Oreochromis niloticus: one gene and its partners. Each later gene encodes a partner of the first gene's protein in a complex. Links are inferred from orthologs where the notes say so. Each region holds a gene or a part of one and is shown in the gene's direction. Other genes may lie near its edges.

Region 1 (7,820 bases):
CTTACTTGTGGCAAAATGCACAGAAAAGGCAGAAATACGGCCCAAACACAGAACATCAATTCACAAAGCCGTCAGCGTAACACACGCACGTATACACTTTCGTTGTAACCATGGAGACAGGTCACACTAGCCTAAGAGAAGAAGCACGTTGAGGTAGTAGCAAAAAGTTGATGAGTAGTTTAAATATGTATTATATGGCACATTTTTGGTTTATATTGAAGATACAAGAAGGAACTTAACATAAAATAACTCGGCCACTTTATTAGGCACACTTGTTCAGTTGCTTGCTAAAGTTTTAACGTGATTAACAGCAATCCATTGCATTTAGGCATGTAGACACAATCAAGTAAAATCTGATATGTTGAAGTTCAAATTGAGGATCAGAATAGAGAAGAAATGTGATTTAAGTGCCTTTAAACATAGCATGGTTGTTGGTGGCAGATGGCATGATCAGAGTATTTCAGAAAGTGATAATTTGCTGGGATATTCCTACACAGCCATCCCCTGAGTTTACAAAGACTGGTCCAAAAAAAGAAGGTATCCAACAGACTACAGTTCTCTGGGAAAGGCAACAGTAACTCAAATAACCACTTGTCACAACCAAGGTATGCATAAGAGCAAATCTGAATGTACAATGCCTTGAACCCTTGAACCTTGAAGCAGATGGGCTGCAGAAGACTACACTTAGAGCCAGTCCTGTAGGCTAAGAGCAGGAAAATGAGGGTACAATTTGCTGGAATTGGAAAGTTATAAAAAACATTGCCTGTTCTCACCAGTCTTGATTTCTGCTGGAACATGCAGGTGGAAGGGTCAGAATTCTGCATATATAACATGAAAGCATGGTTCCATCCTGCCTTGTATCAGTGGGTCAGGCTGCTGATGTAAAAGTCTGTGGGAATATTTTCTTGTGACACTTTATGCCCCTTAGAAGAATTGAGCATAATTTAAACACCACATCCTACTTGACAATTGTTGCTTCAAGTAAGAACCTTCACCATGTCCATCCATCTATACCAGGGGTGGGCAACTCCAGGCCTCGAGGGTCGATGTCCTGCAGGTTTTAGATCTCACCATGGGTCAACACACCTGAATAAAGTGATTAGTTCATTACCAGGCCTCTGGAGAACTTCAAGACATGTTGAGGAGGTCATTTAGCCATTTAAATCAGCTGTTTTGGATCAAGGACACATCTAAAACCTGCAGGACACTGGCCCTCGAGGCCTGGAGTTGCCCACCCCTGATCTATACCCACGTCCCAATCCAACAGTGCAGGTTTGGGATGTGATGGAACAGGAGATTTGCATCATGGATGTGCAGCCAACAAAACTGCAGCAACTGCATGACACTATCATGTCAATATGGGCCAAAACCTCTTTTTTTTTCCTTTTTTTTTGCCTGTCCCGTTTGGCTCTTTTGCCATCAGAATTATTGTCTAAAGGCAAAGAAAGATGCCCAATGGATTTACTTTACCAAATGGACCATCCCAGCTTTGCCGTAATGGTCTGTTTGATTATTGTTTATTTTATTTTATTTTAACTTGCTAAATATGGGACAGACTTGACTGGGGAAAAGAAAGGGGAGAAAGAAAGAGGGAAAGAAAAACAGCAGGGAAGAGGAACGGTGATAAAGGGCAAAAAACAAAAACCAACAAAATAAGCAGACAAAAAATACATATATCAATCACCTGGATCACCTGTTGAGAAAGAAAAAAGAGAAAACAAGCAGAAAAAAAAGAGCAACATAATAAACAACATCATCACGATGATCTATGGGAATATAACAGTAAATACTAAATATTAAACATTATGGTGCAACACGTGAGATCGACAGCGCACAGTGTGCTTTGAGGTAGGAGCCAAAGAGGGTGTAGTTTGTGTGTGTGATCACCCGTGTGTACACCTCTGAGCATGAGCGCACTTGTATTTAAAAGGTTCCTTCATGTAATGATCTGCTAGAGGGTGTGGGGAGCCACAGCCCCGTCCTCCAGGGCATGAAGCAGGTATGGAGGAGATCAAGACTCCAGACATCCAGAGGCCCCCAGAACACAAGAGACCAAGGAAGACCAACAGAGGGGCAGCCGCGCCACTATCCCAGAAAGAGCTGAGGAGAGCCCCAGATGAGGGGTCACTCAGCAGCCGCGGAGCAGAAGCCAGGGGGGGTTGCAGTGACGTGCCCGTGAGCTCCGCCGGCAGCCAGCTGTGCCAGAGTGACCGAGCCCCAGGCCGAGCGGCCGAGGGCACCCCATCCCCGATGTGGCCCGAGCGAGCCCCAGGCTCCAGGCCCCGACAAGCAGCCACCAGGAGTGAGCCGGTGTGTACCTGGACGCCCATCCCCGGACACAAAGAACCACCAATGCGCCGATGTCTGAGGGCATCTGCCACAGGGGAAGTGGTGGGGGGAGATAGGCCTCCATACCTTGGAGGGCCTGAGATGGGCCAAAACCTTTAAGGAATGTTTCCAGTACCTCGTTGAATCTGTGCAACAAAGAATTAAGGCAATTCAGGAAGCAAATGAGGTCCAACCCAGTGCTAGAAAAGTCTACAAAAATAACCCCAAGACTTGTGACAGCTAAAATTAATTTCCTCTAATTAGGCTTTAGATCACACAATCAACAACACCCAGTCAGCATCGACAATATGATCAATTTTAAAACTATCAGCATAAAAACTAATGACCTCAGCTTTGAGAGCAAAAGCTGTTATCCAAACCAAATCCCAGAGCAAACTTCATGCCAGTTCTCAATATTGTCATCAGTTGGAAAGACTGTTGTAAGACCTTACAACATCTGATGTGGTGATATGATTTATATACTATCTGTTCTCTCTGTTGACTGTGAATATTTTACCTCACTTCTTTCAGAGACTTCAGTGTTTACCACAGCTGTGTGGGATCTTTAGCAGAATGACACAGAGAATCATTTAGCTCTTCGATGTGAATGATGGGAAAGCAGTCCAAGTTGCACTCTTGTGCTCAGAGACACACAGACACCTTGAGGTACTGCCATGTGGGCTATGTGGTGACAGGTATGAAATGCCCCATGGCAGACTGGTCAGACAGGATGGCTGTGCAGTGTCAGTAAGAGATGGATGGCATCTTCTTAAGTACTTATATAACTGAGATTTCTTGCTACAGCAAACTTTCACACAACTTCTGTTCAGGGGTTTTCTAAAATACTCTATCCACTGTGACACTCTTAATTGTATTACAGAATACACGTCCAGTTAAAAGAATGACAACATAAAAGGTCTTTTTTAGCCATTAAAAACAGTCTGCTTCTTAAGACTGTGTGTAAGATTTTTTCCTCTTGTAATTTTCAAACGTTACTCTTGTCTATCTTATTATGCTGTTGTTAAAACAGCACTATACATTTGTAATGTATATTTTTTTGTAGGGGAAATAATTTGAAATATTCTACCAAATATCCATACCACCAAACTTATTATCGACAAGAAAGTCACTTCTATAACCGTTACACCATATTTGCCCACCAGGTGGCAGTGCATGCCAACTGGTTTAGGCGTCACAACACAAAGACAAAGATCAGCAACAACATTAAAAACACACACACAGGTAACAGTAAAAGCATAATCTGTTTACAGTGCTGGGAAACCGCGGGACCTAGGATTCATGTGACTTTTACTTTGACATATACCACCTACCTAAATTCAAATGTAGATCCCCCAATGTCAAAGGGACTCCATGATGGCAGGGGCCTCCCCCAGCAGGACAACACACTGCCACACTGCAGAAACCTGCTCAGAAATGGATCAACAACACAGCCAAGATCCACAGGCTTTGGCTTTGTTTTCCATACTCCCAGTCAGACTGAGCAACCGCAGGATTCCACAGAACAAGCCCAGTCCATGAAGGCCCAATGGACCCAAAGACTCTACTTGTGCCAGGCATCGGCGGACAGCCCCAGAGGTCCTGTCTCCATGCCCAGACAGTGTATGGAGGATTTAACAACACTAAATAAGATGCTATTGATGTTGTGGCTGACTGGTTTACAGTAATGGCTGCTGACATTTGATCACCCTTTTTTGTTTTTTTCTCACTATCTTATCATTAAGAGTAATCAGAGACATGGAAAAGCTGACACTTAAACAGCCTTTAGGTTCCTTGTTTGACTGACAACTGTTGTTGTATTACTGCTGAAATACAAGGGGATTTTTGCCCTGACTTTCCCTAATGCTGAATGTCACTATTTATTATCAGTTTGTAATGAACAGCTTATTCATCAGCACATTTGGGCAAACCTTAAAAAATTCCAAGAGTCTCCACTGTGCAATGATAGTTTGTTATCTTTACTTCTCTGTTGAATCATCCATCAGAACGAGACAAAAAGATTGAAATAATCAACAGTTTGTTTTAGTCTAGCCCTTCTTTTGAAAATATACAATCTAACCTCTAAAAAGCACCCAGACGCAGGACAGTGCACCACACAGCCCTGCCCTGTTGACTCCCAATGCTTTGAAATTCACTTGACTATTTTTAAACCAGCTTGTCTCAAGTATCTCAGTTCTTTGACATGGTTTGGCTTACACCTTTTTATCCACCAGGTAAATGTGGTGGGCGTTCGGTGAAAAATTTGTATAAGACTTTATTGACATATCATCGCTGCCTCAGTTGCCAACATCGCAATGTGACAGAGTTAATGCTTCTAAAGTCAGTATTAAGCATGTTCAGTTCCTGGCTTCCTGATGTGGACAGAAGTCAGCTCTGTTAAACAGCAGATGTTTTACACTGCGGCCGTTACCCTCATTTCCTGGGCGGAGAGCTGCTCGCTCTAATAGAGTAACAGGAACAAGAGAAAGAGAAGAGCTAGAGGGGGGAGAGAAAGAGGCAGAGCAAGGCAAAAGAAGTTATCTAAGCTCAGAGCTCCCACAAATCACTTTGTCACCAGCAAGCTCTGACAAGCAGGAGGAGAGAGAAAGAGTACGAGCAGAGACTCGAGTAAAACAGAGGTGCGAATAGGGAGTGTTGTCGGTGGAGCCTCGAAGGAAGAAGGTGTGAAGAAACTGTAGAGGGAAATAACGAGGTGATACTGCTGGATGGACAGAGGGAAGATAGAAGAGAGACGAGACTGAAATCCAGTTCCCAAAACAGCATAAGTTAAGGGGGACGGCTACTGCTGTTGTTACTGCCGCTGTGTCTGGATGGTACATCACCATTTAAAGAAGGTGTGTCAAACTTAAAATCTGTTACCGGAGGACACTGTTTCATTGAGACAGACATTTTAATCTTCTGACAGCAAACGCGCTAGAGACATTTAATCTCACAAGTGGAACCCAGAGAGCATACACTATCATATTATCATGTTTGAGAGAGAAGAGAGGGATAGAGAGACAGCTGCTCTGTCGGTGAAGTAGGCATGAGACAGAGGCGTTGAAAGCAATTTCTGGTGTAGTGCAGCTGTACACAGATCACATGTTGTTACTAGTAAAAAGAGGTAGTTAGAGCCAAGAGCAGTACATGTTTGTGAAATGTTTTTCTATAGGGGCATGCGTAGGTTTGTGACTGGTATTGAATAAGTTGGTGAAAGTAACTTCTTTGAGAACAATTTCTTTCTTTTAACCATTGATATTTGATTAGCTCCGGACTGACTAAAAGCGCCTGAGAGTTTTATCTGGACTGGAAAAGCTGAGGTCATCTGACCAAACCTAAAAAAAATAGGAAGATAATTTTCAAACTTTTTAACCTGAGACTATTATTAGTATTTTCTCTTTATTACAGAACATTACTGGGGAAATATTTGTCATTAGCACTAATAAGAAATTGTGCCAATTTAACCGTCTTAGTCTTAGATAACAAGTAACTCAGGCTCTGTAAACACCTGTCTTCATTTTGCTGAGTACCACACTACTCTTTTCACATTCACTTAGGTTGCCTCTGTAATGGAAGACTGTGGTGACATGTGGAGGATGATATGCTAGCTCTAAAATAGACAGGATTCAGTTTATATAATAATATAATATAATTTTGCATTTGGAGGTTTGAAAACATACAATCAAAAATTGGTCTGTGAGCACAGAAACAAATCTGCTGAATCCTTGATGGGTAGTAGTTTGTTTTGGACCTAGAGGTGTTGTGGAGACTTACAAAAGGGCACTGACTGTGTGCATGGGCTCTTTTAGCATTTGACAGCTCTGTTCTGGACTTGCTTCATCCTGTGGGACGTCACTGGGTTACCTGTTTGGCTGAGTCAGAGGCTGGGTCATCACTGGATGTCTGTCTGCTCACTGGGATTCTTTCCATCTGTTTCAATGCAAATAAGACAGATGTGTTAGGTACTTTTTACAGCAGCAGTGACAGCCGTGGTGGTGAATTTTCAGGACTCTCCACACTGCTGTAATTGTTTTGTCGTGTGTAAACACTTTGCGTCAGTGACACCTCTCCACTGAGTGATTCACTGTTCCCAAAGGATCCCCGGTTGGAGGAAGGCATTGAAAGGGAAGTCGGAGGAGCTTTTATTAAGAACCAAAGAACACAAGTGACTGAACAGACAGGTTGTCAACATGAAATTGTGGTTCTTGATATTGATGGTCGTGTACATGGTGGGCAGTGTACATAATCTGTCTACATGTAACACTGTGGACTTGGAGATGGTGAAGAAAAAACGCATTGAGGCCATTAGGAGCCAGATCCTCACCAAACTGCGTTTGCAAAAAGCGCCAGATGAGGCTGGGGAGAAGGAAGAGATCCCTGCCAACTTGCTATCACTCTACAACAGCACCAGTGAGATTCTGCTGGAGAAGCAGGATGAGGAGCAGAAAATCATCCCCAGAGAACAAGAGGAGGAGGAATACTTTGCCAAGGTGCTTAACAGGTTCAACATGACCAGTGAGTATAAAATTACCCTTAGCAGCAATATATAAATCTTGAATCTGTGAATCCTGATTGAATATTAAGAAAGGGGGCAATTCCTGATGGCTTAACTATAGTTGAATGTCAAGTAATGACTGTTATTTATGCTATTACAAGCTGAGACACATAATTCAAGGTGAACACTAGCATTGCACTGACACTTTCCACTCTGAAAAAATAGTTATTGTCCAGATGTCACATGAAGTGATGCTGTTAATCCCTCCACTACAGCAATACTGCTGTAATAATGTTATTATTACTAGCAGAAACATAACAATAGCATCGCTTACAGTCCCCCTTTGAATCAGACTTTTGTTCAGAATTTTGTTGATCAACACTAATATTAAATATAGTGCTCACAGTGCTGTCCAGAAGTTTCAAGCTGTACTCCCAAGTATTCACTGTATGCCTTATGGCTGGTGTCACTTCCAATCTTGTCCATAAACTCCCTCAACACGTGTAACCCTTATGATCTCCACCAAAGATCCTGAGGCAGTTTCAGGGGTTCAGAGATCACAGGCATTACAAGTTAGCAGAACTGTGTGCAGCATCTGGTCTGATGCTGTGTGTTGCTTACATGATATCCATGGCATTTTTACTGCTTTATTACTGCTCTTTGTCTGGCAAGGCTACATATGATGTTTGTTCAGCCAAATGGTTTCTGGCTGTAATTGCCTAATGATTCCCAAACTATTACGATAAACATATTTTCTAGTTTTGTTTCTATGCACCATTGTTCTCTGCATGTCTATACTCCTCACCCTATCAGGCAGCCATCCACACTATCCCCCTTTTATCCGCCACTTCAAACGGCACACTTTAGTGGATGGACCACGCTCAGGAGTGTGTAGACCAAAGAGAGAACAAAGCAACCTTCAAAATGAAGAGCACAATTTTGTTCTGCTTAGATAACAACCAAAGAACAGGATGAAAAGTAGAAAAGCAATAGGAAGAGA
Region 2 (6,864 bases), on another chromosome or scaffold:
GAAATGAACTCTGTAAAATCGCCACTAAAATTAGATTTTTAAACCACTATTATGTGTACAGCAAAAATGAGAAAAAAAGGAAAAAAGGGGTGGGGGGTGTTAGCATAGAACAAGTGCAGAGTTGCCCTGGACTGGTCTGTTTAGACTTGACAGATCTGTTTTGACTTGAGCTGTGCCATTTGGCCTTCAAAGATTCCAGACATGTGCCAAACTGCAATGAACTTTGACTCCGATGTCTTGATTTTTTTAGGCTTCCCTGTTCTAAACTGGCCTGTATTGCTGTATGTTATTATCCTGAAAAGTCCCAAACTGAGAAAGCAGGAGACTGGAACTCGGCTCTTTTGATTACATGTTGGGCTCAGGACTGGATTTTTAAAAACTTTTTGTTATCAGACTTAGTTCTTGCTTTTTCTTCATTCTTTTACCTCGTTGCCTTTTCTAGAGCTAAATATACAAAAGTTGTAACGTGACTTTCAAGAACAGAAAAGAACAAAAGTGGTACCTGCCTATCCCTGAAAAGGGGCTCACTAATGACTAGTAAACAATAATGTTGTCCCCTTCTCAGAGAAACTTTGATTGTAGCCATTTTTAAAGCAGGCAGATGGATACTTCCTTTTGCAAATATGTTACAAATGTGTATAAAATGTGTAATGTTGTTAAAGACTTACAAAAGTCACCTATTACTGTGTTGGTTTCTTTGGGGCTATTATGTGTGGACAGGCATGCTCTCATTGTGCTTGCATGGGTTTTCACCTCCTCTTGGATAATTCTTAATCAACCTTAGATGGGAGGCAAATTACATAACACACTTGAGGGCATAAAGTGCATAAAATGAGGTGTTAGATAAATAAAAAAGAGGAATAAAACTTGTAGTGTAAAGTGCATTAAGTTGGTGAAAAGAGTTGAAATCTAAGTCTGTTCTGTTCCATTATTATCCATTATATTTGAGAGTTTTATATTCGAAACTTTAATCATTTGGATCTGGTTTGAGGGGTGTCTCTGCAATGGATTGTAAGATTTTACTATAAGAGTCAAATCATGAATCTGTCATATAATAGTGAGGGCCCAACAATAAAACTAGCTTTGCTTGCTGTAATCATTGTTCTTTTCCAGTTTGTCCCAGAGAAGTCTGTTCCCGAACCACTTTTACTGCAGAGGGACAAAATCCACAGTCCTTACTCTGTAAATTTACATGGTAAAGTTGATCTGAAGCATATATGATGCTTGAGCAGTTTAGCTTTGTCCAATCAAGACGATGTTTCCCTAAATTAAAATCACCTCTTTTATCACTATCACTGCACCACAGCTCATTAAGAAAAGGGGGGAAATTTGCCAATTCTTTAGTTACTTCAAATGTAATTCATCAAGAAATTGCTTTCTTTGGTCTGTTTAAGGAGCAAAACCATTTTCAGCGTCCACTTCAAACTGCCTAAACATAAGAGGTTGAACAAATGAATTAATTCTGTCGTTTAAAGTTTCCATTATCTAGTAACAACGTTTCAGCTAACGAGACAAACCAATCCTTCATATTATCTGCTGACAGTGGCAACGTTTTTTAGAGGTGTAAAATGTGTAATGTTCTCACAATAGGAAGGGCCTTTTAAATTTTATTTATAAAAGTAAACTATTGACTATTACACTTCAGCGATCTTTTACACATGACTGATGATAATAAGTTGATGATGACCCAGAATGAAGCAAAACAGAACAGAAAACAGCTACATGACAGTCAAAATCCCTCCTTATAGGCTACGCCTGCCTGTCTTGGAAAAGTGTGTGTGTGTGTGTGTGTGTGTGTGTGTGTGCGAGTGTGTGTGTGTTCACGCTGTCTGATGCAGGGGAATGGACTTCCTGTTCAGAATGTGTTGTCATGTTGACTAACCAAGGACACCAAGAAAGGGAAACGACCTGGCCTTCAGAATAAAAGCTTGGTATGTGCAGTCTAGTTAACATGATTAAAGGCATTTTAACAATCCCAAAGCTATGGAGGCTAAATAATTTGCTAATAGTCTATAAATAGAGCATTATATTAATAATGTGTTATATAAGGTCACAAACAAACATACAAACAAACATTGGTTTAATACATATACATAGATTAGTGTGTAATAATGATTTCCAAAACAAATGAATATGTTCTCATAAACTTGCCTGAATTAATCCATTAAAATATATAGGACTTGGGCCAGTTTGTGGAAGTCACAGTGTTGCCTCTCCAACTTGAATACAGTGTCCGAGATAGTGAGAGGGACATCCCTTTCCTGCCTAACTGTGTCTTATGTATGTGATTAGAGATTGGCCAAATACATAGTACGCCCAAGGTGGAGGACAAGAGAATTCATGAGCGTTTGTGTGTTGTGGAGGCAAATTTTAATTTGTGTCTGCACCTTCAGATTCAAAATGGGAAGGTGTTTTATCGTCTGATAACAGGTCTCTTTCACCAAAGAACCAAAATGTGAAGAAAAGTGACAGCACGACTGGATTCTGGATAAAATGCTTTCCTTTTCCTCCTCAATTCACCGCTCATCTCCTTCATATCAATGTGCATATCAATTTTTTCAGATTTTGTTGCAGTTACTTATTGCCAGCATGCGACCCTGTGATTAGCTGACAACCAGCTGTACAACAAGAACTGGTTAAAAGTTAGTTTAGGATTGAGTGTCTTAAAAATCTCTCTTTCTGTCTGATGTAAAGATTCTCATATGACTGAGTGAGAGTTTATTTTGTAAGTGTTTGAGTAAAACAGGGTTATATTAACTTCAAGGAAACTTTCACTAGCACAGGCAAACAGAGGCTAACAGTGGCAAACAAGTGTTATTGGCAGAAAACCTTAGGATGTTTGCAACAACTCGCCTCAATATAGGGCTGGTTAATCTGGGATACCAGGCATTTTCCTGGTGGGCCGATAGGCCCAAAAAGTGACTCAAGGGTAAAAACATAAAATACAGCAAAATATTTGACACATAACCTTTTTTTTATTTATTTATTTTTAACTCTTACATCTATTGTTAAGTATATGTATTCCTCAAATATATTAAAATATAATTTTTTATATACAAACAGTAACAGAAAAAAAGTTGGTTATGTGGTACAGTCTAAATTTAATGTTTTGATCTCTTTTGGCTGACTACAACATGTTTGTCCTATAGCAGCCACCAAAGCACTGAGAGGAGTTGACTGCAATTATGCAATCTGCTGCCATCTAGTGGTGAGATTTTACACACTGTAACTCAAAAAAAAAAAAGAAAAGCAAAATATGCTAAACATTTTAATAAAAATTCCTAAGAAAACAGTACTTGATGGACTTTCACTGCTTTTTCAGCAGAGCATCATATATAGTGTTTCTCACAACTGTAATGAATTGTAGTGGCACAAACATTTCTATGACTTTTTTTGTGTGTGTCTCCTGATGGGCTGGATCCAGTTTATTTCTCTTTTATTTATTTGTTCTCTATTAATGGGAGTTTTTATTTGGAAACAGCAGTGCTTAGTGGCCAGCTTATTTTGGGCAGGAAGAGAACCTGAATGTTTATGGACTTGATAGAACGTCTGAGCATTTATGAAGTATCGTCACAACAACAATAACTACCAATGATGCCATTGCGCACTGTGTGTGTAATTTAGCTGAGCAATAGTTGAAAATAATTTAAACTATTTAATATTTATCTATATATCTAGCTAGCTTGAAAGAAACTCAACTGTTCTGAATCCCTTCCTACATTTGAAATTGTAAATTTGATTTAAATTTCCAACTCCCAGCACAGCCGAAAATCATGCTTTTGTTTTGAAGGGTATCAGACGGAAGTTGTTTGCTATGTTTGGACATATAACTTGACTTTAGCTAGTTGGAGCGAGCCTATCCTTGACACACTTACCCACACCATACAACATACACACACACACAGTGTCGCGGCCTCTCCCCGAGCTTGTTCCGAGATTACGCCGCTTTCATCGCTTAGACAAACTAACGAATCGCCGGTGAAAGACTGACTCTGCCCCCGCCCTGCGCTGTGTGTAACGCTGGTTAGCTCCGGTACAAGCTGGGAATGTGTTTTATTTAACAATTACATGACGACTTGTTCTCTGTACGGTTGCGGGGGGGACGCTTGTTAGCAGGGCTGAGATTTTAGGCATTTTAAAGTTACACCGTGGGTGCATACAGGCCACAACACCTCTAAGCTAACTGATTAACTTGATAAGGGACAGACAACATCTTCGGCGTCTGTGTTTGTGTCGGTGAAGCCGCGGAGATCTCCAGCAGCAGCCATGGCAGGGACACGGACAGCTGCTGTGCTGGTCCTGGTGTGTTTACACTTCCATCGCTCCGGCTCTTTCAACCTGGATGTGAATAATTCCATCGTATACTCCGGACCTGAGGGGAGCTACTTCGGCTTTTCGGTGGACTTCTTTAAGGCTTTAAACAACCTAAAGTAAGATTTGTAGCAGAGTAGATGGTTATGGTGATGATGGTGATGGAGAAGCGCCTGTTCAATGTAACCTTTGGTTTACCTTACTTTACATTATATATGCTTCTGTTGAAGTACTTTACTTAAGTTTTACACTTTGGCCATTTTGTTATTTAGTGACAAGTTCTCAGCTAGTGATATGTTTTTAAGATTTAACATGACAGTCCATTAACAGCAGTCCATTAACTTTTAACTTTTACTTCAGTACTTTATTAACCAAATTGTAAGGGCTGAATTTTACAGGCAATTTGAATTTATTGCCCATTATTATAACCATATATTTTAAGAAAAATCCATAAGTCAGAGATTCTCCCTTCAAAGCTGCACCAGCTGTGACTTTATTTAAAATGAACACAGACAAACAGGAACAGTGCCCAGAGGCCATGTAGGCTTGGTGCTGTCTAAACTCTCGTCCATGGATATCCATGATTATCCAGTTTTACTGAAGTGAAAGTAGTTCTCTCAAAAGAACACTACTGATCTAGTTGTTTTCAGACTGCATTTGTTTTGTTAATTTACATCATTAACAGACCAAATGCAGTCCCAAAACAGTGCCAACGCCCTCGGTCATAGAGGAGGTTTAACCTGAGGTGCTTTTAAATTGTGTTTCCCATATTGTCAAGTGTCATAAAGGTTCCTGAAAAACGTTTTTAAAAAATATTCCCTGGAGTGTGTGAGACATCCTAATAACAGTCTTATCATCGCCTTTATGCTTCCTGGTCTTGTTTCTTGCTGTATTTTTAGAGTGTCTGCATGAAAAGATAGCAAAAAGCTGCCTGTCATCCTCTCTCCCTGCACAGAGTTTCTGCAGCAGTTTTGTAGATGCACATTAACAAACTTGCACCGTGCTACTTTTTATGTATAATAAGAAAACAGGTGGTTTTTTCCCAGACCTCTTTAAAGCATCATCCCATAACGCATAGCCCAGTTGTTCATTTTTTGTGTTAAATAAATTCTTGTGGATTTCATCCCTTGTTCAACTAAACATCAGTAGGTACCCAGGAAAATGTCAGTTTATTGCAGATGACTCCCTCAGTGCAGCAGAGCCCTGTTGACCTTGGTAAGGGAACATATTCAGTAACTTTGTGTTGTAACATCTAAAACCTCTATGCTGTGCAGATAAATATCGATTGCCTGCCATTTCTCCATATTTCAAGGTTCAAGGTTCTTTATTTGAGAAAATATCAGAGAAATGTTGCAGTCTCATGTGACAATAGACTGACAGAGCGGACAGAAAGTTAGAGACTTTCATCTGCAGTAGCCTGAAAAACATTGAATCCTTTTAGTAACACTAATTAGATCAGCACTGAAATTCACTGCCCATGTTACAGTTATTGCCATGGTCAGAGTGGATTTGTATAATATGATATCAGGACCGAAGTTGGCTGAACATGGCTTAATAATGTAAATATGTCCTCATACAGAACACGGTCGCTGTGGAGACTCGTTTGGTTCTAGTTATTAAAAAAGAACTATAGATTTTCCTCACAGGGCCTAATGCATGTCAAGCATAAGCTGTATAAAGCATGGTCGTAGCTACTGTGACGCCACCCATCACCCATTAGTGTTTGACTGCTGCCATTTTGGTTTGCTGAACCCAGAAGTGACTGTGGTTAGATGAGAGGGTGGAATGATACGTTGTCGCTAGGAAACATCATCTATAAACCATATGGGTTGAATGCACAGTTACAGATGCCTACTAAATAGTGCTAAATAACAGACAGACACTACAATTTCACTCACCAAAACTGAATCACAAACTTCTTAGATGCTCCGCACCACACCCATGTCAGTTGTTTAAACATGGTGACTCCAGTTAGTGAAGCTGAAACCCAGCGGGTACCAATCAGCTACAGCTAAACATGTTGTCAGCATCTAGATGGATGAGTTATAAAAATAAATACAAATCCCCTCATACTAGAGTTGTTATGAAGCTGGAAACTCTCCACGGAGGCCAAAAACAGTTTTTACACCAGGCTGTAAACAGGCCTTTTAATGCATCTATGGGCACTGCCTCACTATGTTTTTCTGATGCCAAGCTCAGAGCCACTAGAAGAACCGTTCATTTGTGGTACTTTGTGTTGGCTTCATTTAGAGCTATGTATTCTGTTAAATAAAAAAGGTCAAAAGTTTTGATTCATTTTATAAATCTCACAAAGCTATATCAGCCAAATGTTACTAACAATAAGCTACGCTAAGTTCAGCCTGTCCTTCGGTTTTTATTAGCTAGTTTGAGGCAGCAGTAGTGGCTGGAAGCTAAAAACCCCCCAGTGTAACAATGTGTGGCCTGCAGTAATTACACGTATTGAGAGATCACTTGATTTGTAGCTGTTTTCCTGTTGTTGTTTTAATTTTATTCTACTGAGTGTGGTTCCTGTCAGCTTTTAAAACAACCACA
Region 3 (8,009 bases), on another chromosome or scaffold:
TCCTGTGGAGAACTAAGACTATCCTAACTGCTTCTACAGGAATCAGGGAGGTAAGTATTAGCCAGGTGATGCTAACCAAATGCACTCTTTTAGCTGATCATCAGTGATCAGTACGTGTGAGCAGCTCTATAAAAGCAGAAGTTTTAGTGGTTTGCATGTCTGGACTATTTAGGTGTGTTAACACAATCTTCCCAGGAGTTGACCTGTCAGCCAGTTCACCTAAAGAGCAGACCGTGCAATGCTCAGTGAAATTGCAAAAAAACATAAGAGCTACATCTCAGACTGTACAGGACTCAGCTCGCATGTTAACTGTTAAAGTTCATGACAGTACAATTAGAAAAAGACTGAACATGCTTTTTGGAAGGGTTGCCAGGAAATATCCTCTTCTCTGAAAAGAACATAGCAGCATGGCTTCCAACGTTGCATCTGAACAAACCACAAGACCCGTGGAACAGTGTCCTTTGGACAGAGAAGACCAAAGTGGAGATGGTTTGCCTCTAATGCACAGCAGCACATTTGGAGAAAACCAAATGCAGCATATCAGCACAAACACCTCACACCAACTGTCAAGCACGGCGGTGGAGGGGTGAAGATTTGGGTTTATTTTGCACCCACAGGACCTGAGCACTTTGCTGTCATTGTGTCAACCATGAACACCTCAAAATGTCAAACAGTTCTAGAGTCAATTATGAAACAAGATGAGATAAAAACACAATGTCTTGAAGCACAGCAGCAAATCTACACCAGAATGGCAGCAAAAGAATAAAAAGTCCAGACCTCAACTTGATTGAAATGCTGTGGTAGGATCTCAAGAGAAGTGTGCATAAACAAATGGCCAAAAAGCCTCAATGAACTGAAGCAACGCTGTAAAGAAGAGGGGAGCAAAAGAGTGGCAGTACACCAAAACAAGCTTTCCATTCAGCAACATACATAAAGCTGGGAGTTGATGGCATTTCAGTGTGTGAGTAATGTCTTAAACATGCTGATTTACTTTGAGGCACCACTTTGGTCTTGTCTGTCTAGCTAGTGAGTGAACAACATGCACATCTCAACAGAGCAAAAGGCCTCAGACAAACAGCAACATATCCAAGTGAAAGTTGGGATATATCTTTAAAGACCACAATGCACTGCTCATAACCTCAGCTGACCTCCTCTGAGAGTTTCATCCAAAATGAAACATTTCAAGCTTGACTTTTGCTTTCTTTTGTAAATGTAGAGGTGTGAAATGGTGTCTTCACATCGCTAACATAACTGACATGACTGCGATGTCGAGTTCTGTCTTCCTGCTCTCTATCAGTATTTATTTAAAGGCAACTCTGCAATAAAAGATACATTTTACATCTCAAAAAGTGCCAACAGAAATTGTTTTGCAATGCACTAAAATCAGCTCAGCGTGACTCAGGGAAAAAGCGTCTCAGTGCTGGACAGCATCTCAGCAGTGAAGGAGAGAATTCATTGAATGATTGACTGTCTATGTAATGCCAAGGCAAAGAGATTGGCTGCTTCGCGTCTGCCAATTTGTGGCTCCTGTTTACAGCTTGCCTGTTAGAGTACCTGCTAATACTCCCCGCTTTCTGTTCTGTCCTTGAATGTCTGTTTGCCGGACTGTCTATCAAAGTCACTTTCTCCATCCTTGATACTTTTACTTTGCCCGTCTCACTGTCTGTATCCAGGGCTGCTATCCTCCCGTTCACCATCAAACCTGCTGTATAACTGCTTAACTGGTTTTGTCCACACATATCAATCTAATATGGAATCTGAAAAAGGATGGAGACTATATATAATTTATTTTAAATTAATTTTTGAAGCTTTATTTAGTTGCTGCCTGTTGACTGTACAACCATTAACATAATAATGAAATACTGGAATTTCAGTCACTAAAATTAATGCATAGACTTATAGGAGCATCTGTACTGCACTGCAAGCCTTTCCATTTGTCAAACATCTCCAAAACATAACAGCCAAGGTTATCATAGTTAACTAAAACTAAACTAGAAACTCAAACTAGATGTGAAAAAACATAAACATTTGAATTAACTTAAATGTAAAAATAAAAGCTGGACTTTTGAACTAAATTAAAGTGGTAACGATTTTGTGAGAATGAAAAAGTTCCCTTTAAAATCAGTTCAATAATAGAAATAAAATCCTGGTGGATGCCAGTGCCTCACTTTGATATAAATCTATGTTTCCCTTGGTTTAAGGAAAGTTGCATTTACAGGTATAACTTAGCAATATGAGGAACATCTACACCTTCTCAAAGGTTTTCTAAATCCCTCTGATGCAATGTTTGACTGGCGGGAGACTTCGACAGAGCCGAGATTTAAGGGCCCACGAAAATGCCGCTGATCCTCGAGAAGTTTCCACAAGAGGGCAGTGACGGTTTTGTGCATGCAATGCAAATATCTTCCCACCACAGAGAAAGCCTGATGATATGCAGCAAAGGCTCTCGAGAGGATAGAGGTTTCCCACATTAGTGTAACGTCAACTGTTGTTGCTGCTTGTATCTGTTCTCACAACCTACAGCCTTAAACAGACGACTGAGGTGTGCTGATGTATGCTCCGTATGCTCTGAAGGCGTTAACAGGAAGACAGGAATTTTGTGAATATTTATAGAAGCTGTTTTTAATATCTAAAGAAATTAAGCAAAGAAAGAAAAGAAACCGTTAAATTTAAGACACTAAGAAAGTGTTCTAGTGTTTACATTTAAGTCTCCATCCCTTTTGTTTCGTCAAATAGCAACTACCCACATCCCCCTCCACCCCCACCCCTCACACACACACACACACACACACACACACACTCGTGGGACTTTTTACACCACCGCTAGAACCCTTTCGCAGCTCTCAAAAATAGAATGCAAATGTCAGTAGTGTGCCATGTCTTAAAATGGCTTCAGCTGCTGAAACAGACAAAAAAAAAAAATAGTGCTATGTAGTCACACACTGCACTGCACGTGTTCACAACACTGAGCAAGTGTAGTGCAGGAGCTGCTCTCACCCAGTGCGCTTAGCTGACACACACTGCCTCACACTGCACGCTGCTACAACTGAACATGAGCAAGGCCACATGTAAAGCTGCACCTAAAGCCACTGTAGGTCACATCGCTGGTGGAACACTAACAGGTGCACACACACGCCATTTCATTAGATACACCTGTGCAGTTGCCCATCGATGCAAATATCTTATTAGTCAATTGCAGCAGCAACTCGGTGCACGCAGGTATCCGGACACGGTCAAGACGAGCCGCCGAAGTTCAGACCGAGCATCGCCATGGAGAACAAAGGTTGTTTTAGTGACTTTGAAGCAGGTATGGTTGGTGGTGGCTGATTATCAACTGGGATTTTCCCACACAACAATCTCTAGGGTTTATAGAGTTTGCAGAGATGAAAAAGAGACAATAATCAGTGAGCAGCAGTTCTCGGACTGAAAATGCCTTCTTGATATTGGAGGTCAGAGGAGAATGGCCACACTGCTTCAAGCTGATAGGAAGGCGACAACCAGTTGTTACAACCAAGGTATGCAGAAGAGCATCTCTGAATCCACAGCACCTTTAACCTTGAAGCAGATGGGTTACAGCAGCAGAAGATCACATTGGGTGTCACTCCTCTCAGCTAAGAACAGAAAATTGAGGCTACAATTCACACGGGTTCCCCAAAATCAGACAACTTTGGGCCCCTTTCTGTCAGTTGAGCATGGTTTAACTGTCACAGCCTTTTTGAATATTGCTGCTGACCATGTCCATACCTCTGTGACCACGTCACAAAGCTCAAATCATCTCAAACTGCTTTCTTGAACACAACAGTGAGTACAGTGTACTCAAATGACCTCCACAGTCACCAGATCTCAGTTCAACCAAGCACCTTTGGGATGTGGTGGAACAGCAGATTCACATCATGGATGTGCAGACAGCAAACCTGCAGCAACAGTGTGATGCTCTCATGACTAAAACCTCAAGGGATTGTCTCCAGCTCCATAATTAATCTGCGCCATGAAGAATTAACGCTGCACTGAAGGCGACAACGCAGCACTAGCAAGCCGTACCTAATGAAATGGCCAGTGAATGTATAATAGATTTCATCTCAACTGCAGAGGCATTTCTGTAGTAAGAACAACAAGTCTTAAATCTATTTCTTTATGCATCACATGTAACGTTTAAAGGTGCCCTGTGGGGGCTTCTTGTAGTTCATAAGCAGCCACCTTATTTGATTTTACGAGTGTCAAACAAACAACAAAGTCAGCACCCACACATACTCATATGGATCAGAAAATCTTGTTGCCACCCAACCTTGCAACAGAGTCAGAAGTGAGACGTCCTGTGTGAAAACAGGAAGGAATGCCTGACCAATCAACTCTCCACAGAAGGCACCATCACTTCCTGATTCCTAATTCCCCATTCTTGCACCAACTCTTCATTACAAATAAGATACAAGCTAACAGCTGGAGTTTCACAAATGTTGAAAGTGACTTTAGTACATTTATTAGCTGGAGAATGAAAATAAAATCAGTAAAGCCAAACAGAGTACATTGCTTAGTTTCTGCAGTTATGCTCTGAGCCCTTGTGCCTTATCTGACTCAGAATCCCTATAACCCTCGAAGGTATGTTTTTATAAAGAGTGCTAAAAGTCAGTTTATGTGTGTGTGTAGATATATATACATATATTTATATATACATATATATATGTGTGTGTGTGTGTTTTGTCTGTTGCAGTGACAGGCCGAAAATAAGGCAGGAAGGGTGTGTGCGTTGAGTGGTTTCCTCTTGAGTAGCTTGGCTGATCAGAACGAGCAGAGGGTGTGAAGGGTGTGTTCTCATTGGGTTTTTGTGGTAGCAGTTGTGCTACCAGTATCAGTTGTCTGAATAATAACGCTATTCTGCTGTGAAGCTGTGAAGGAGAAAAGGAAAAAAAAAAAGAAGAGAAAGAAAACACTTGCGCAGTGGTGGTTAAGAGCTGTTGAGCCTGCACTCGCCTTCCTGTGGCCCCGAGCTTGAGAACCTGCCTGATTGCAGCTTGTCCATGTGACTCGGTTTCCGTTGCCTGCCTACTTCCGTGAATAGTAAAGAAGGGGCATCTGTGCTTCAGTCAGTGCAGAGGAGAGCAGCTGAACTTGACACACATGTGAACGCGCTCTGCAACAGCGAATCAACCAGCGATATGGTCAGGGGAGCAACCGTCAGTGGCTTGGCAAATCCACACCTAACCACCAGTGTAAGTAAATGAACTCTGTACTGCACGGTGTTCTCCTGCGTGAAGCAAAGCGCATCGCCTAAATGAGGAATTCCTAATTTAAGCCCATTTTGCAGTCGGTGCATTCAAGCAAGATACTTTAACGATCATCTGTTTCTGAATACGCTCTATTTTCTGAGTGTTATGTATGCATACACCCGCGCACCGCTTTGACAAACGAATGTGAGCGCAGCATAACAGTTTTCAGACCATGTTTGAGTCATTTAGATGTTGCCTGATGAATGTAAACATATAGTGCGCATAAATGCAAACGCAAAGTAAGTGTGCGTGTCTTTTTAACACAGTGCACGGTCTTATTAATAAAAGAAATAGGCTGCATCAGATAGAGAAAGGAAGATTCTGCAAATATATGTTCTTCCATGAGGTTAACTTCTCTCCAGGAACATAGTTTAGAAATTATATTGAAAGCGGTGGCACAGTTACTCAATGTGAGCTACGCAGATGCAAAATAAAAATGGTAATAAATCGGTTAGACAAATGAAGAAACATAAAAAAATGTTCAAGAAAACCTTCGTGTTCTTTAGAAACCATGCATGCGTTATAATGGATAAGCCAACAATACATGCAAGCCAAAAAGGAACGCACGGCCTCCACATACAGTGAGTCACACAGTGGTCTGATTTGAAATCTGGGAAATTTTTGCAAAACGTACAGCAGATGTTTTCAGGATAAAATATGCCATCATTTCCGACATCCCGAGACAGGCCGTAAGTCAAAGATTGAAAATCAGAGTTATTCACATATAATAAAAATGAAACCGAGTACATGACGTTGGCATAAACGGTGTAAAGATTATATTACACCTTCACATTTTAGAGTTTTATCAACTGTACTTACTATTTACAACAATTTTCATTTAGATATGAGCAGATTGAAAAAAGTGATGAGCTCCACTCTCACCTGAGACACTTAAATATAGTCTTGTAGACTTTTACACTATCAAAGCTTTTCAAATAATTGTGAAAATGAACCTCGGCTATAAAAGTTGAATTTTTAAACTGCCTGTCCACTCTCTGACCTTCTGGCTGCTTCAGCATTTTAATAGCAAGCTGCTTTCGTCCATTGCTAGGATAGAATTTCCTTTTCAGACACATATACATTTTAAGACAAAGTTTATAATTACACAATTTTTTCATACAAGGTTTTTCACTATATACAAATAGTAATAACTATGGTTTAAAACAGAAGAATAAGCCCACTGTCAGGCCTATATTGAACAACCAGCTCCTGCTCACTTCAGCAAAGGGGAAAAAATCTAAAAGTATGTGACACAAACACGCTCACGCATTTCTTCTTCTTCTGTGTTCTCAACAGTAAGGATGAGAAAATGCCAGTCCACAGGCTCACACCCATCCTTCTCTGCTTGTTGCACATGTGGAGAACGCTGACGCCAGTCTCGAGTCATCCGCAGCACCATCGATGTCAGTTGGTAAGACGCTCTTCGTTCCTTTAGCTTTTCCCGAGCACAATGAAAATTGGTTGTAGCATGTTTTAGGAATATCGGGGAAATTTTACAATATATCACATGGAAAAGGCCAAACGATTTCATGTTTGGCTTAGTTAAAACTAAAAAGTGACTTTGGTAAGACAACTTCAAAGGTAAAATTTCTAATAAAAAAAGTTATTCCTAAGGCACTGAAACATAAATGTGTAAACATGAAATTTGTTTGGAAAAAAGCATCAAGTAATGATATTGAAATATGGAAAGTTCTGTATTATTAACAAAGATCCAGTCCCTAATAGGATCCACCTTCTAAAAGCACGCTGTATATGTGGTTTATACCTTTAGTTAGATCAAAATCCATTCAGATTAAATCCATTGGCACATTCCTACACTGTATTAATTATTTAATGACGTTCCAATAGGCCACAAAAAAGTCTAAATTTGTGAATATTAATATCTGATGCAGGGTTTTGGAAGCGGATGTCAATTCTGAGAAAGAAATGAAATCTCTCTTGTTGAGTGTTTATCAGTCATATAAATAAATATAAATATGAATCATTCTAGAAATGAAACATCTAAAGCAATAAAACCAATAAAACTCCGAGAGGGGAAAAAATGATTAGTTATTTAAACTGAAAACTTCAATTTGGAGCGTTTTTAAAAAAAAAATGCATCTCGCCAGAAAGTATTTTTAGAGTGGTCCAGTGACTCAGAATGCTAATGGAAAAGTGATCTGTCAAGGAAATAATAAAGTTTTGGTAAGCTGTGGTATGACCTACTAGACTAAGAAACTACAGCCCACCATGTTTTTCTGTGAGCCAGTACAGTGGGTAACAGTACTTTCAGTTAAATCCCGAAACACAGGAAGACTAAAATGGTTGCACTAACAGTAAGACGCTAATGTACTGCAGGCAATGCTCATTATCTTAGTTTAGCATGCTAGCATAGTTTACAAATAACCACACGAGAAGTAATTTAAGAGGGAAATCTTCCCACAATAAGATATTTTAAGTGCACATGGATATTATTCATGACGATCTTAAAATTTATCTGCTGTGCAAGAAAGAAATGCAGTTTCTGCCAGAATTTTAAAAAGCCAAAACACAACCAGTATGCAAGTGTTAAAGCATGTGCTTTTTTACCTCCTCTGCAGATACAACAAACGGCTTGCTGCAATAATGGTCAGCTCACATCTGTGCCCGAAGGACTTCCAGAAAACATCGAAGAGCTTCAGCTCAACTACAACCTCTTTGAAACACTACAGAACGCCTCTCTTCTCCGTTACCCTTCACTAACCGCCCTGAGCTTAGCTTGCAACA
Region 4 (6,855 bases), on another chromosome or scaffold:
CCCAGATTCTCTGATATTGGCCTAGTGACAGTTTAGTTATTCTTATTAATAAACTGTAAGAAGGGTTACAAGTGCAACAGATGTTTTGTCAAAGTGTGTCTTCATTCTCATCTGAGCACCTACAAGCTCATTACAAACAAGTGTGGCATGGCACTTTGCAGTCACTCTTGGGCCATGGTACATCATTTCACCATAAACCGCCCATGATGAGGTGCTTCCCTTAAGTTTTCAAATAGAGGACTAAAAAGAATGATCAAAAAAGTTAAGCTAAGGAGCACGTGTGGAGAGCTCCAGACAGGGAGAGTATGGTCTGATCAGATCAGACCAAAGTTGATGCCATAGTACACACAACGTTCAAAAGGCACTGCATATCACCCCAAAACACCGCACCAACGACATCATGGTGTGGGGCTGTTTTTCAGCATGCGCCCTGGCACACTTTATATAACTAAAGGAATGATAAATAGAAAAATGTACCAAGACATTCTTGATAAAAATGTCTTGCCATCTACTAAGAGGATACAGACAAAATGAGGGTGGATGCTTCAGCAAGAAAATGGGCAGGAGCCTGTCTCAGACACAATAGGGTGATAGACAGGGTAGACCCCGGACAGGTCGCCAGTCTGTCGCATGGCTAACACAGAGAAACGAACAACTATTCACACACACATTCAAACCTGTGGGCAGTTTAGAATCCCCACTTAACCCCACTAACTGCGTGTCTTTGGAAGCGGGAGTACGTGGACATAACCCAGGCAAACACAGGGACAACATGCAACCTCCATACAGAGGTGACAGTGCTAACACCACCATGCTGTCCTACGTACATCACAGTAATCGTTAATATAAATCTATACAAATATAACTGCTCTTCTTCCCCTCCTGTCCTGTCTTTCTGATATCTTTCTCCATCGCTGAGTGAAGTTATCTCACACTCTTTTCTTTCCCTGGAAATCACCACAGCTGTAGCTTTAGCTAGCAACACGCTGTGCAGCAATGTGTTTTCTGTTTGTTGAATTTATAGAAACATTGAATTTGAAAGGACCTGCCACTTATAAAAACGTTACTTCCTTTATGCTCTGTCCTGTTCAGTAGCACTAGCTCGATGCTAAAGTACCACGACCACAGTTTATGGATTGTAATTCCTACACATTACATTGTCCTTTATAGTTAAAATCCTTGAATTGACGCTCGAAGTCTGGATTGAATCACCACTTGAATGTCAGACCATCACAGTTGTTATGTAGATGTATGATTTAAAAACCTTTCAAAAAATTGTTTGTCATTGTCCAAAAGTTTATGGACCTAGCTGTACCAGCAGAGATGGGCAGTAACGCGTTACCGTAATCCAATTACTTTTTCCAAGTAATGTAAGGGGTTACTGTTGCAAAAAAGTAATTACATTACAGTTCTGTTCAGTTACAGTTACAGTCATTACAGTTCAGTCTTACAGTTACATTCCTGTACGCACGCTGTGTTACTGCGTTACTAAACTGAAAGTGTTTCATGACAATGACATACAAACGTGCAGCGCCTGTGGCAGCAACAGATGTGTGCAGATCAACAATGGAGTGATGGAGAGAGTACGACCATGCAGCGTTTAAAGCGTGGAATTACTCGCATTACTTTAAGTTTTAGTCCGTAAAAAGTGACCAAAACATTACCGTCCGCTGTGCACTCTGCGTGGGAAGCAAACTTCTTTTTACAGCGAAAAATTAAACTTCAAATCTGAGTGAGCACTGAGCACGCTGCCACGGGAATGTGACATTCACAGAGAAACCCCCGGATCCTCCCACTGACATGACTGCTGTGGGCAAACCTCCACCCACCCCACTCCTGCTAAACAGGTGACAATAGATTTAAGAGCGACAGGACTCAAAGCTGCTGAATCTTTGATTTTATTTATTCTTTGCTGTGTTTTACTTGCATCTATTTGAAAGAGTGAGTGTAAACACAAAACATTATTTTATTTCATATGCTGGAACATGCAGACAATAAGTTTAAATGTTAAACAAATTTCTTTAAGTCAAAGACTGTTGCATATAATTAAATTTTTGTTTGATACAACGTGCATGAAGTCAAAAGATTAAAATGCATCAAAAAGTTTTAAAAAGAGACTTTTTCATTTGATTACGTTTTATATGATTTATTATGCAGAAAAAATAGAATTGTGCTGAAAGGTCTATTGCTTTATTACATATTCAGGTTGTGTATCATGTTCAAGTAATAAAGTAACTAATTACTTTTTGAAAATAAGTAATCAGTAAAGTAACAGGATTACTTTCTTGGAGAAGTAATGAACAATTAGTAACTTATTACTATTTTCAAGTAACTTGACCAACACTGTGTACCAGTAGCAGTCCGTTTATCATTTACTTCAGTTTTCTTTGATTTGTTTTTTAAGTTTTGCCATATTTGATTTTAATAGTAAAAAACAATTTTTTTTTTTTTACAAAATTGATGGAATAGCAACAAATGCCATCTTTTCTGACATAAAACTGTTTGTCAATAATGTCACATTTTGAAGTCCATAATGGCATTTCCTGTCTGCTTCTCCAGATGTAAGCACCAATCAAAGAAAAAACACTCTCAACTCTGTGAAGCTGACCAGTTTCTCTTTGCTGTCATACTAGATGTTTTGTATGTAATCAAATTTTCTACATATTTTGCAGATACTGTAGGTTGGATGTGTTTTGAAATTCCGATTAAATTTTTTAAAATTAATTGTGTCTGCTGTTTTTATACTACTACTACTACTAATAATAATAATAAACTTTACCCAGGAAACTATAACCTTTGATAAGCATTAAGCTGCAATTTTGACTGCAGCTGTTGAAGCTATGGCTGCGTTGCTGGGGCCAGCACTCAGCTTTATTATGTATGCTGTCTTCATTGCTCTGTTATCAGCAGCTGTTTGTAGCCTGGACATAGTTTTACTTTACCGTGTTCTTATTGCTCATTCTGGTAACTACAAACAAGTTATTTAGGAGCTGTTAAAGCCATTTAGAAAGTCCAAGCAAATGATTAACAGCATATTTAGATGCACATTTATACATACACAGATTATGAAATGAGGGTTTATAGGTGTTATTTCATTTTGTAATTCATGGCTAATTCAGGTATTTACTAGTTGTTAATTAAGTATTTTTATGAAGTGAGTGAACCAACTGAGAGTTCAAAGCATTTACAAACCTTAAAATGCAAAAAAGCCTTCCCTATCTTCATAACAGAAGAAGCACAAAGGGATACAGGACATACAAATATTTGATGTGTGATGCAAACATAACTCACTATTTATAGAAAACAGAAATGTATGTCAGACCAGAACCTGAGTTTGCAGAAGGGTTTGAAAGAGAGAGACTACGGACTTACAGAGTATTTACTCTGTGGAACCAGCTTCCAGCTTGGATTCAGGAGACAGACACTATCTCTACTTTTAAGATTTGGCTTCAAACTTTCTTTTTTGCTAAAGCATATAGTTAGGGCATATATCATAGGGCATATATCATATATCACATATCCCCTGTGTAAGACTTATTATTCTATTCTCTAAGAATAGTTTGGTTTCTATTAGAAATATACGAACACGGTGTAGTACTGAAGTAATATGAATGTAACTAAATTATAACATTCTTTGTTAATGCAGTGAACACGGTTTGTTTACAGGCGCGTTACAGTTGCTCTAGTGGGCGGGGTGTCGCACGTTCCTTGGCCAATCAGCTCGCTCTGCTCCTGAGCAGGTCCTGGCCAGGCGGGCTCGTTGCTCCGTCAGCCTATCAGCGGCCGTCTTCTTCTGCGCAGGGAGAAGTTAGCAGTCGAGTGGCAGTCTGGTTCACAGCCACGATGGGTGCAGTACGGCTTTTTGTGGTCGTCCTTCTTTTTGGGACAAGGATACAAGAAAATAATGGTAAGTGGCCTGAAATGAACACAGTAGATGTGCGTTTGTTGGTGTTCTCGTGTATTTGTCGAAACTTGCACTCTTGGTTCGACTCGCTTCCCTTAGAAGTGCTCTTTGTTCAAGAACCCCCAAGAAGCGGGTTGTGTCTAACTAAAATGGCGTAGGGTCTGCGGCCAGTCTGCTGCTGTCTGCCTGATGAATGTTTATAGTCTGGGGGAAAAGGACAAAGGCAGCAACAAGTCACACGGCGCTGAGACGGTTCGGCGTGCTAAGCTCGTTTTTGGTCACCCGTTCCGATCCTGCTTTGGACCAGCACCGGACCGTCTGAAGGAACAGTCCGAGTGTGGCTGAGAGAAAGTTGGCCGCATCACGGATGGATGTTTGCTTTTTGTCAAACATTAATTGAAATTGGGAACAAACATTTTTCCTGCTGGGATTTATGTAAATATCTGTATTTACCATTTCTTATCTCAAACGCGTTGTTAGTGTTCTGGTCAGGACTCATCTTGAGGAGCATTAATAACCTTTGATCTCAGTCTGATAAATAATTCCGTTATTCTACGTTAATAAATGCTTAAAGAGTAACTTGCTGGTTGACTTCAGTAGTTTTCTGCCTGACGAGCAGACGCTAGCCTGTTAGCTTCTGTCAGACATTAGTTGAGCGCTGCTGTAACTTTGAAGAAGAAATTCATTTAAATAAATGCTGAAGTCGCTGCTGCGTAAATGCCAGAGCTGCATCGTTTCACTGCATGTTTGCAGCAGCGTAGTTGGCTACAGTAGAAGTGTTTAAGGAAACGCAGCTTTGAAGTAGCCAGCACGATTAGTGACGAGGGCAGGCGCGTGCACTGCTGCTCGCGCTCGCGAGTGTTGAGCCCCGATTTTTATTAGTTTTTCATTAAAAAAACATCGTGGTCGCTAAAACCAGCGCTGACTGTTACAGGTGAAGGCTTTTCTTAAAGGTACAAGCAGCCTTCACCTGCATTTTTATTTTTTGCGCTTCATTGTGTGACATTCCTTTGTGTATACAGAGAGGCTGGTGATGAGTGGGGAAGCGTGATTTCAGCTGGCATATACAAAGAGGTCATTAAAGCCCCCCCGTGGGGTCCTCATATACTCTGCTGCTGCTTCAGTTGCAGGCTGGATGTTACACTGATATGTTGGCTCAGGGATACAAACAAAGGGGAGGCACTTCTGCTCTTTGTTCAGCAGGAGGCTTGTCATGGTCCATGTTCGGAGCAACACCAGTCCTTCTTTCGTTTGTTATCCTCACATTAACAACAAGTCTGATTTTAATTGGACCACGAGTGGCTGTGTGCTACAGTTTAGACTGCATGAGAGCATCTTCACTGCCACCTCTGTGCCACGTTGCTGTTCAGCACCACACCCATGCAGCTCCCACTCCTGCTTCAGCAGCATCCGCACACAGCTGAGCACAGGCAGCAAGCTAAATTGGATGGTGTCACTAGCACTCATCATCCTCCCCCCTAACGGGCTGGAGGTGATGTTCTGTCACTCAGAAAAACCTTCTTCCCTCCCATCTTCCTCCTCCATTTTTAGCACAGTAAGAAATGAAAATCGTGAAATATTTTAAGATGTAGAAACCGATCACCTACAGAGTATTCCACGTACACACTACTACATGCAGAATTCAAAGTATATACATGTTTGCAAATGTTTAAATGCAGCAGATGAGCTGGAAATGATACACGAAGCAGTGTCATTCAAGAGCTGTTTTTTTTGTTTCCTAATGTTAAAGTGTTGCTAGAAGAGTGGACAGTGGGCACATACCTGGTTTGGAGAGTGAGGCATGTTACTGTGACAGTCTGTGTACCACATGCACACCACTATAGTGACACGATCTCTGTGAACCACCATGTTTGAAGGCTTGAGTTTGGCAGAAAATCGTAGCAAAACATGCAAAACCAGATATGACAAGAGGCGTCAAAGAATTGTTGTGAGCACTGCCAGCTGAAGCTAATGTGTCACATGTCCTCCACGCTCAGTGGAGTAGACGAGGGTGGGTGATGTTCAAGTAATTATTGAAAAGTGTTTTTCCTTAAAGCAGTGGCCACACTGTCAGATGGTTACACTGGGCAGAGTGGTAGGAAGCTAACTTTGAACAAACACAGCAACAAACATTAAGCTGAATGAGAGGAGAGCCTTTTCCCATAATGCTGTTTGATGAATCCTTCAATAACAGCCAGGACGGGCTGTTTGTTAGTGACCCAGTGGTCATGGGATTTTGTTCCACCAGTGGCAGCTCTGCTTCCTCTTTGATGGAGGGTTGAACAGATGTTTTTGTTAGAAACAGTAAAAATCGACACAGACGGTCAGTTGCTGTTTTTTGCGAATGGTTGTGTTGCTCATGCTTCACTGTTGGGTGTTTATACAACATGTTATTGTTGTGGAGGTTTTTCTGGGCACCGCGTTCTCCCACCGTCAGGACTAGCAGTGGAGGAATGCCAGGCATGTGGGTGACCCCAGACACCCGTTGTCCTTGCTTAAAGAACCACAACTAATTTGAGTGGTCGTAGCCACACGAGCAGCCGTTGGCAACAATGTGTTAATGAATAACCCTCGATCACTGACGGAGAGGCTGCTGTGTTTCTGAGTGAAAGCTTCAGTCTGGCTGAGGACGACGTCTAGTGTATGATGTCAGGGCTGAAGCTGCTGGTTATTGTAGTGATCGATTATTAATGAGTAATAAAAAGAGAAAATCACAGTATTTTTAACTGCACACATCTGTCAACAATAACCAAAGCGTCTGTTTGTATTTACTTTGCATACTAAAGTTTGATTTGTTTAAAGAAAACATTCTGTTAAATACAAAAATAAATAATCTCAAGTCCAGTCAAATAAAGTAAGCTCTACATGCAGTCTAAACAAAGTCATGAAACACAACAGACTCTGTCTCCTTGGAAGGCTTTCTTCTATTAATAGGAGCCAAAAGAGTTCAG

What was found.
Region 2: the proteins of tgfb1a (region 1) and itgav are in contact, whole or in part, in a crystal structure (PDB 5FFO), measured with the Homo sapiens proteins. The link is inferred for Oreochromis niloticus from reciprocal best matches to the Homo sapiens genes TGFB1 and ITGAV. Residues at the interface, in NP_000651.3 of Homo sapiens: Gly242, Arg243, Arg244, Gly245; in NP_002201.2 of Homo sapiens: Asp178, Asp180, Phe207, Tyr208, Gln210, Ala245, Asp248.
Region 3: the proteins of tgfb1a (region 1) and nrros are in contact, whole or in part, in a cryo-EM structure (PDB 7Y1R), measured with the Homo sapiens proteins. The link is inferred for Oreochromis niloticus from reciprocal best matches to the Homo sapiens genes TGFB1 and NRROS. Residues at the interface, in NP_000651.3 of Homo sapiens: Leu30, Ser31, Thr32, Cys33, Thr35; in NP_940967.1 of Homo sapiens: Phe194, Glu195, Ile196, Glu197, Gly198, Gly199, Phe201, Leu210, Leu212, Pro218, Cys219, Ile220, Val221, Asp222, Phe223, Gly224, Leu225.
Region 4: the proteins of tgfb1a (region 1) and tgfbr1b are in contact, whole or in part, in a crystal structure (PDB 3KFD), measured with the Homo sapiens proteins. The link is inferred for Oreochromis niloticus from reciprocal best matches to the Homo sapiens genes TGFB1 and TGFBR1. Residues at the interface, in NP_000651.3 of Homo sapiens: Ala279, Leu280, Asp281, Asn283, Tyr284, Tyr328, Ile329, Trp330, Gln335, Lys338; in NP_004603.1 of Homo sapiens: His39, Leu40, Thr42, Lys43, Phe55, Asn68, Met70, Ile78, Phe84, Val85.

Annotation. Positions count from the first base shown.
Region 1 is NC_031979.2:33,775,523-33,783,342, forward strand, and holds the start of tgfb1a (transforming growth factor, beta 1a), read left to right. Parts: upstream 1-4,811; 5' UTR 4,812-5,180; intron 5,181-6,134; 5' UTR 6,135-6,515; coding exon 6,516-6,840; intron 6,841-7,820. UniProt on the Homo sapiens protein: Transforming growth factor beta-1 proprotein: Precursor of the Latency-associated peptide (LAP) and Transforming growth factor beta-1 (TGF-beta-1) chains, which constitute the regulatory and active subunit of TGF-beta-1, respectively.
Region 2 is NC_031987.2:29,168,861-29,175,724, reverse strand, and holds the start of itgav (integrin alpha-V), read left to right. Parts: upstream 1-3,845; 5' UTR 3,846-4,266; coding exon 4,267-4,430; intron 4,431-6,864.
Region 3 is NC_031974.2:26,327,398-26,335,406, reverse strand, and holds the start of nrros (transforming growth factor beta activator LRRC33), read left to right. Parts: upstream 1-5,000; 5' UTR 5,001-5,207; intron 5,208-6,560; 5' UTR 6,561-6,573; coding exon 6,574-6,675; intron 6,676-7,843; coding exon 7,844-8,009. UniProt on the Homo sapiens protein: Key regulator of transforming growth factor beta-1 (TGFB1) specifically required for microglia function in the nervous system.
Region 4 is NC_031974.2:34,528,134-34,534,988, forward strand, and holds the start of tgfbr1b (transforming growth factor, beta receptor 1 b precursor), read left to right. Parts: upstream 1-3,843; coding exon 3,844-3,907; intron 3,908-6,855. UniProt on the Homo sapiens protein: Transmembrane serine/threonine kinase forming with the TGF-beta type II serine/threonine kinase receptor, TGFBR2, the non-promiscuous receptor for the TGF-beta cytokines TGFB1, TGFB2 and TGFB3.